Linked DNA regions of Saccharomyces cerevisiae S288C. Changing the gene in region 1 together with any one later gene gives a genetic interaction. Each region holds a gene or a part of one and is shown on either strand. Other genes may lie near its edges.

Region 1 (4,738 bases):
CCGAGTTGGGGGCACCCGTTATAGATATCACATTTGGATTTGCAGTTGTGGACGACGCAGTTGCTGAACCCATTACACTCGGTGTGGGTACAGCCCCTGATGTATGATTTACAGAATTCGATTGCAACTGTTGTTGTATTATATTCTGCTGATGGTGAGGATGCTGAGATTGTCGTATTGTGGAGTTGGAATCCATGTTGCTCTGAAGATTGGCATGCATATTATTAATGGAGGTGTTATTAGTTGCATTGCTGCTATGAGCCTGCATAGTATTAGTCTTATGACCTGCATTTTTTGTATTAGCGGCCATGTTATTCTGCAGGTTATAGTTGGCAGAAGAGGTATTATTTGTCATACGAACTGATGAACTAGTGTTACCAGCAGAGTTCATCGGTATTTGTGACATATTGGTAGTGTTAGGAGACGTGGATATATGAGCTTCTTCGTAATGTCTCAGCAAATCATGCAAACCTGGTAAGGAAAGACCACAGCATGAATAATCTTTACAATATTGCTTTTCTAGATTTGGCAGATAAGCAGTGTAGGCTATCTGAGGAGAAATAGAATACCCTCTATGGTAAGGCGGATTACTAACAGAGGGTCTCTTAGTTGGTTGTTGAATCTGCAAAGTATTAGTGGCAGTAGTGGTTGCAGAAGCGGCAGCGGAGGCAGCACCGTTTGCTGATGCAGGTACAATACTATTTCTACGGCTAATAATTTCATCTCTTAACCAAGAACCAACACTAATGGATCCCCATGAAACACCACCCATCCCTTGAGAATGGGCTATTGATTCTCTCCGTAACTTGGCAATGTCCTGTGGAGTTAGTAGCGTTTGGTCCATTATATTTGGAGAGTACAAATGAACATTATTTGTATTATTCATGATATTTTTTTGGTGAATATTATTGACGCCGTTAAAATCTGTGTTTTTTCCATTAGAAGAATCCGAATTGTTATTTATCAAAATGGAAGGAGTATTCTGGTTCGAATCAATATCAATATTAAAGTTTGATGACGAATTTATAGATGCATGTGCCGATGTAGCCGTCGTAGTAGTACTAGTAGCCATATTGCTTGCCATAGTCATTGTTGTAAAATCCATACTCAGATAAGCTTTTCCTGTTTCGAAGAAAAATAAAAATACTGAATATGAATATGTCTTTTAATAACAATAAATTTGAAAACGCCTTACAAGTGAAATCTTGAGGTGATTAATAGTAGGTGAATCCAGAGAAAGTGTTTCGAGGATATAATATGGTATCAGAAAGCCAAAAGACGACCGGTATATTATAAACTTAGTATGAATGTATCGTGGCGCTTTTTTCTCCTAGCTTTATTCTTCTTGCTTTCTCGCTCTAAATATGATATTGCGATAAAAGGAAGTAGTTTAACTCACCGTAAAATCGATCAATATTAGAAAAACAGAAAACCACCAGAGAGAAGCACCGATATGTAATTGAAGTAGAAAAAAAATCTAGCTTTCCTTCTCTTTATAAGCGAACTTAATGATTAGATTGACTAGCGCTATCCTTCTTTGATTGTAATATTTGTCAAACCTTGTTAACGGAGCCACTAGAATGTACAAGACGTTATATAGGGATGACAGGTAGAAAAGAGATAGGGCCTGGGAGGTAAAATGCGTACGTTAGCCTAGAGAGCTTTAAATCGGTGACGATGCGAAAGCAAATGATAATGGCAATAGCGGTGGCAGGCGACAGTGGCAAGTGACAATGGCTGATAGTGACGTTATTTGATACAAAATCGCCTTTTAACGAATGCATCGCCCATTTGTTCCAAATTTCAATTGATTCGAAATTGCTCCTTATTATGTAACTGACAAAATCCTGTCCCCTTGCACGACGTAGGCGCGTTTTGTTTCTTTTTCCTACCGCAGACCACCTTGCGCACGGGAACGCCGCACTGTTTGGCACCCAGTCACCGCCCGTACCGTCGTTCCACAGAACATGCCGCAGAAACCTGTCGGGTAATAGTACACGGGATGAAGAGACTTAATGCCGACAAGCCGGGTAGGGGAATTGTAGCTCCGAAAAGCGACGGAAAGTTCAATATACAGAAAGCCCGTGCACCATTTTTGAAAAGTTTCATAAGATCTAGTTAAAGTTATGAAGAATTTAGTTCGAATGTGTAGTGATGAGATGAGCAGTAATGAAACATTAATGAACTCAGAATAGGAAAAAAAGGCAACTTCTAAACATTATTGATGGAGCAAAACGCTGAAAAACGCTCTATTGTTGGCGACGACAACTCAACCGTGAAGAGACAAGACACTTCCCCGTCCAAAGGTATTGCACATATCAAACCAGAATATATTGTACCATTGAAGCAGAATGAAAACCAGAAGGTCGCCATCTATGATGAAGAGATGTCTTCCGACAGAATGACAAACGAGTTTGCAGGTGGGACTAATAAGAAAAATAAGAACGGAAGAGGTAAGAAGCGTGGGCAAAACAAGAATAGAGATAACAGGCAGGTCAAGGAACAGAATGTCTTGTGCCCACGCTTGATCCATGGCGATATATCTAAATGCTCCTTTGGTGATAACTGTAGGTTTGTTCACGATATCAATCTGTACCTTTCAACAAAAAAGCCTGAAGTTGAAAGTAATATATTTCCTTCCTGTCCGGTCTTCAACTCGTTGGGATTTTGCCCCATGGGATTCAAATGCAGATTTTTATCGTCTCATCTGAATAAAGAAGATAATATCCTAATATCGAAGAAGGAGATTGATCCAGATGCGCAAACAATATGGTCCGTTAAAGGTGAGGTAAACCATATCTCACCGGAAAGAAAACTCGATCTTATAAAAAGAAGATTTCCTTTCACAAAAAGTAATGAAATATTGGAAATCATCGACTCTTTCCAACAAGAATGTAGAGATTCCATGAAGCCAGAAGAAGAAGTTGAGTCAACGCCACAGCTGAAGAAACAAGACCCAGATGTGGAACAACCAGTTGCCCCCCAAGTCGAACAGAGGAACAAAGAATTGTCAGAACATAGAATGAAACAGCGTGAAGTATACTTGAAGTACAAGGACACTCGTTATTTTGCTCAAGAAAAAAAGCCACTGGATTTGTACCACAAAAAAATCGTGTCGCCATTGACAACCGTAGGCAATTTACCATACCGTCGTCTAATGAGAAAGTTAGGTGCAGATGTGACATATTCGGAAATGGCCTTGGCAGTTCCCTTAATTCAAGGAACTAATTCTGAGTGGGCGTTACCTAAAGCTCACACATCAGAGTTCCCCGGGTTCGGGGTTCAAGTGGCCTGTTCTAAAGCCTGGCAGGCGGCAAAGGCTGCAGAAGCACTCGCAAACTCCGTCAGTGAAATAAGTGAAATCAACTTAAACTCTGGCTGCCCCATCGATTTGCTATACAGACAAGGTTCTGGTAGCGCCCTGCTGGATAACCCTGCAAGAATGATTCGTTGTTTAAACGCGATGAACTACGTATCGAAAGATATTCCTATCACGGTGAAGATCAGAACAGGTACAAAGGAAGGTCATCCTATCGCGGAAGGGTTAGTCAAAAGACTGGTTAACGAAACTGATGTGGCTGCGATTACCTTACACGGTAGGTCTAGGCAACAAAGGTACACTAAGTCTGCGGATTGGGACTACGTGAGTCAAGTGGCTGACACCTTGAGATCCGCCGAAGCGGATTTCATCGAAACCGAACAAGGCAAAGAAGGCAGGGATTCCAAGAACAGAATTCAATTTGTCGGAAATGGTGATGTCAACAATTTTGAAGACTGGTACCGCTATTTGAACGGAAATGAAAATATTGATAGTGTTATGGTTGCTCGAGGGGCCCTGATCAAACCATGGATTTTTGAAGAGGTTGAGTCGCAGCAGTATCTAGACAAGACAAGTACGGAAAGATTAGACATTTTAAGGGATTATGCGCAGTTCTCTATGGAACACTGGGGCACCGACGAATACGGCATTTCTCAATGTCGTAGATTCTTCTGCGAGTTCATGTCCTTTTTTCATAGGTATGTCCCCATGGGTATTTGTGAAAGATACCCTGTGAAGTTGAATGAGAGACCGCCAAACTGGTGTGGAAGAGACGAACTTGAAACTCTAATGGGTAGTACGGATGTTAATGATTGGATCAAGCTAAGTGATCTATTTTTCGGTAAAACCGACGAGAACTTTGTATTTGTCCCCAAACATAAGAGCAGCTCTTATGCAAACAGAGATTCCTAAATAGAAAATCAAGTGTACATGTATCATAAATCATATCTGATGGGTAAGCGCGGTTATTTTTCCTTTGCAAGACGAGAATTGGAATATGTACGGGTGTCAATTTCAAACGTGAGGTATGGGTTCCAAGAAAATCAAAATAAGCACAGCTGGGAAGGGTTAGGTAGGAGCGGAGAAAAGTGTATTGAGAAAATCTTAACGAGTTCGGACAGGTTATCATCGCAACACAAATGAACATAACTATCAACCTGATGCAACTGTACCTGAGTGGCTCAAATAGCAGGTAAATACAGGTGGATTTAGAAAACGCGCAGTGATTTGAATCTCGCAAGTCGCCTCTGAAAAAAGGCATTTCGCAAACTGGGGTGTCTGGAAAGTTCATTACATCCCGTTCACATAGCTCCTTCCTGGTACTTGAGTAAGTCTTTTAAAACAATTCAACATCTACTTTGTATCAGGCGCTTGGATTTACACTTTTGGCATATTTATTCCTACGCTGCAGTTGCTATT
Region 2 (3,990 bases), on another chromosome or scaffold:
CAGTCGACTTTGAACCCATTTTCATAGGCCATTTAAAATACTTTGACGAAGATTTAAGATACGTTAATAGTACAAAGGAAGAAAATATCAAACTTATTGAGGAAGTAAACCTAAGTAAGAAGAATAACCCCGGCAGAAGCGGGATTGAACCAAAGAAAATGGTAAGAATAGATCCCAGAGAGCTATATATTGAAGATCTGAGATATTCCTTCAAACTGCTTGATGAGGTGAAAGAAAATTTAAGTGCCGGCACAGCATTTTACGAAAATTTAATTACTTCTACCAGCAATCTGTACAATGAGGTACAGGAATATGATACAGCAAGAAGAGCAGAAAAAGCTAGGCTTGATAAGAGTTTGACATTTGAAGACCAATGATACCTGTCCTCATTCATCTATAAAGTATATTTTGAGCTTGTCATCCTCCCTTTCCATTATCAAAACCCAGCTTCACTTATGTAGATATATACACTCAGGATAAACTCCTTTTTCCTAATATTTTCATTCCACAGTCTCCTTCTTGTTTATTTTCCATTTTTCAAAATCAGCTTGACGAGTGTTTCTTTTCAAGTTGGATTTATGTCTTCTGCTACCCAAATGAATTTTCCAATATTTTTCGCCAATAGCTACAACGTTCTTACCATCTGCGTTACGACAGACGTTGCAAGTATAATGTGTCCAATCGTCCAATTTCTTCATCGTAGTTTCGCCTTTAGACAACAGCTCCTCTAGGGCTTTAGGTGCCCTTTCTTGCTTGATGGGTCGATTGCTAATAAAGTCATTGGAAATAGCTATCGCTCTTTGAGATGCATTCGTGTCCCATTGAGAAAGGTCAGTGGCATCCAGTAAGTATATATCGCCTTTGATGTCAGGTATCAGCATTTTCTTGATCCATTTTACCTGCCTTTTTGCGTATTGACGTGTTCTCGTTTTCATTCTTTCTATACAATCCTCCAATTTTACTGTGTTGTCATCAGTTTTCCCGGTTAGCCACGGTAAGAATTCTTTGAAGCCAATAACTTGCCAAACACCATTCTCGCATTGCTCCGGCGTAAATTTATTTTGACTGTAATATTCATATAATTGCTTGATTTCTTGCAAGGCGCCTCTTTCTAGCATGTCGTCTACACGATCGTCAAGCCTTTGGAAAAGTGGCTCCGGCTTACTGTATAGCCATAAAAATAGGGTATCAAACTTCAAAGTTATTTTTTGTTCGTTAAATGTCTCGCTTGGTTTTTTGCCCGTCTTATAGTAGATTTCCAACATTCGTTGTACCCTCCTGTAGTCATTAGGATGGTATTTGGTAGCTATATCAGGATCACACTTCACAAGTGTGTTATAAATCACATCAGGGTCAGTCGATTCCAAAATATCGAGCTGCTTCCTTGTGAGCTTACGTTCGGATGATTTCGTATCGACCCGCTTATTGAAAAGAGTCTGCAAATAATAATGAGTACCCCCAACAACGATGGGTATCTTACCCCTCCGGTGAATATCTTCAATAGCGTTCATGCATTCAGTTTCAAAACGATGGGAATAGTATTCTTCTGACCAATCTACGTGATTCATTACATGGTGAGGAATGCCCTCTCTTTCTTGAAGCGGATGTTTATTTGTTATAATAGGAATATCTTTATATACCTGCATAGAATCCGAATTGATAACTTCGCCATTAAATTTTTGTGCCAATTGTATGGACAACTGAGACTTTCCTACTCCTGTTGTACCAGCAATCACTATAACTTTTTTAGACATATTTAAGCAACCTTTAAGCGGTCCCTTTAGCATGAAGATTTTTGGTTCTATTTACAAAAGATATGTACGTATAGTAGCTTATCTAATAAACTATACAGCCCTCACTGAGCTTTTCTTCTTTTTTGCCATTTTAGAATTTTTTTCTGTTTTAATTTTCTTTCCGATGAGCGAAAGATGAACGTGTGCTTTCGCCTGATTCAGTAATCAAGATCTTAGATCGACGTTGCCATCGAGGAGCAGCAACATAAGGAACTTTTACCTGATTTTAGCTTATACGAGCAAAATTCGCTCTTTATCTTTCGAAGGCATGACCACAATAGCGCAAGTAGATATGTAAATAAATCTTCCTAAACCGGTCTCGGAATGCAAAGAGCTTCGTATTTCAAAATTACCCGAATCCTATACATGTCAGGAATCAGGTTATACTCCCTAGCTCTTTTCCTGTTTGTCCATCTTTTTCCTATCATAGATGGTTATGGAGGCGGCTGTTTCTGTAAGAACTACGGAGTCGCGGCCCGGAATGGGAGAAATGCGAAGAAGCAGGCCGCAAGTGGAAGAAATTATTGGGGTAAAAGATCAACTAATGAACTCTGGATATAAAAAGTACAGTTAGCGTTTCTTCCCAACTTTCTTATGCTGCTATCAGCAAATGCATTTGCATAGGCTACAAGCCACAAGCCACAAGCCAATAAGGCATATGAATAATAAGAGAAAAAGTGCCTAATTGCTGTTTATATCAACCGTATGGCGTGCTTTAGCTGCAATAAACTTGTTTTCGCCGATTACCACTAATGGCCGACTTCCACGGATCCCAAAAATAGTGCCACGTCGGTACGGTCGGGCATAGTGGTTATTATTTCCGGGTTGTGACCCGCTTCGGATAATTGATCTATCCCCGAGGTAATAGGCCCGTGCGGTTCCGTCTTCATGAAGCTGCAGGGGCTCCGCTTAAAAGCCCCTGACGGCTCACCTTAAATCCGTGTTACGACACTATGCCAAATGAAGGAAACACTGAAATGATTGCATACCCGCACTCGTGCTTACATGCTAATTGTCCTTGTCAGAGCAAACGGTACCGGAGGCTTGAATGTGTTTATGTGTATATATATATTCGCCTGTATGGAAAGTTATAGGTTGTCAATTTGTTGTACCTGACACATCGATTTTCTAGTCATCACTTTCCTGAAAATTACAGAATAAAGATACCATCTTATACACACACATACACACACAAAGAAGCATAGACATCGTATACATATATTTTAAGTTTTACTAATGCCTTCTTCTTTGACAAAAACCGAATCTAACTCAGATCCTCGAACAAACATACAGCAGGTACCAAAAGCCTTGGACAAAAATGTAACTAATAGCGGCAACTTGGATTCGACTTCTTCTTCGACAGGGTCAATAACAGAGGACGAAAAAAGATCAGAACCGAATGCAGATTCCAATAACATGACAGGGGGCGAGCCAATTGACCCAAGAGATCTCGATTGGGACGGGCCCGATGACCCAGACAATCCGCATAATTGGTCCTCTTTGAAGAAATGGTATACTACTATGACTTCAGCTTTTCTTTGTTTGGTCGTCACAATGGGTAGTTCCCTATATGTTTCTTCCGTACCAGAATTGGTAGAAAGATATCACGTTAGTCAGACTTTGGCGCTTGCTGGTTTAACTTTCTATCTTCTGGGTTTATCGACTGTCATCGGCGCTCCATTAAGTGAAGTGTTTGGTCGTAAGCCTGTCTATTTATTTTCCCTACCTGTGTCAATGCTTTTCACCATGGGTGTTGGGTTATCCAATGGCCACATGAGAATAATTCTACCCCTAAGGTTTTTATCAGGTGTCTTTGCATCCCCCGCCTTATCCGTTGGATCAGGTACCATCCTGGATATCTTTGACGTGGACCAGGTCTCCGTCGCAATGACATACTTTGTTCTATCTCCATTCTTAGGGCCAGTTTTATCTCCTATTATGGCAGGATTTGCTACTGAAGCCAAAGGCTGGCGTTGGTCTGAATGGATCCAATTGATTGCGGGCGGTCTAATCTTGCCATTTATTGCGCTCATGCCAGAGACCCATAAAGGTATTATTTTAAGAAAGCGTGCCAAGAAGAGAAATATAGCCTTGAAGAAGTTCAGCAGGGAAGCTCAGAAAGAATTTTTAAAAACCACTGTCACTATTACAATCTTAAGGCCTTTAAAAATGCTTGTCGTTGAACCTATTGTATTTG

The links.
Region 2: of DUS3 (region 1) and MOD5, changing one enhances a phenotype caused by changing the other (phenotypic enhancement), as found in Saccharomyces cerevisiae (one study listed by BioGRID).

The regions. Positions count from the first base shown.
Region 1 is NC_001144.5:921,935-926,672, reverse strand, and holds DUS3 (tRNA dihydrouridine synthase DUS3), read left to right. Parts: upstream 1-2,224; coding exon 2,225-4,231; downstream 4,232-4,738. Other genes in the region: zinc-coordinating transcription factor SFP1, read right to left, coding at 1-1,105.
Region 2 is NC_001147.6:835,471-839,460, reverse strand, and holds MOD5 (tRNA dimethylallyltransferase), read right to left. Parts: upstream 1,788-3,990; coding exon 501-1,787; downstream 1-500. Other genes in the region: RIM20 (Rim20p), read left to right, coding at 1-377; TPO4 (Tpo4p), read left to right, coding at 3,030-3,990. UniProt on the Saccharomyces cerevisiae protein: Catalyzes the transfer of a dimethylallyl group onto the adenine at position 37 in the anticodon loop on a specific subset of tRNAs both in the cytosol and the mitochondrion, leading to the formation of N6-(dimethylallyl)adenosine (i(6)A).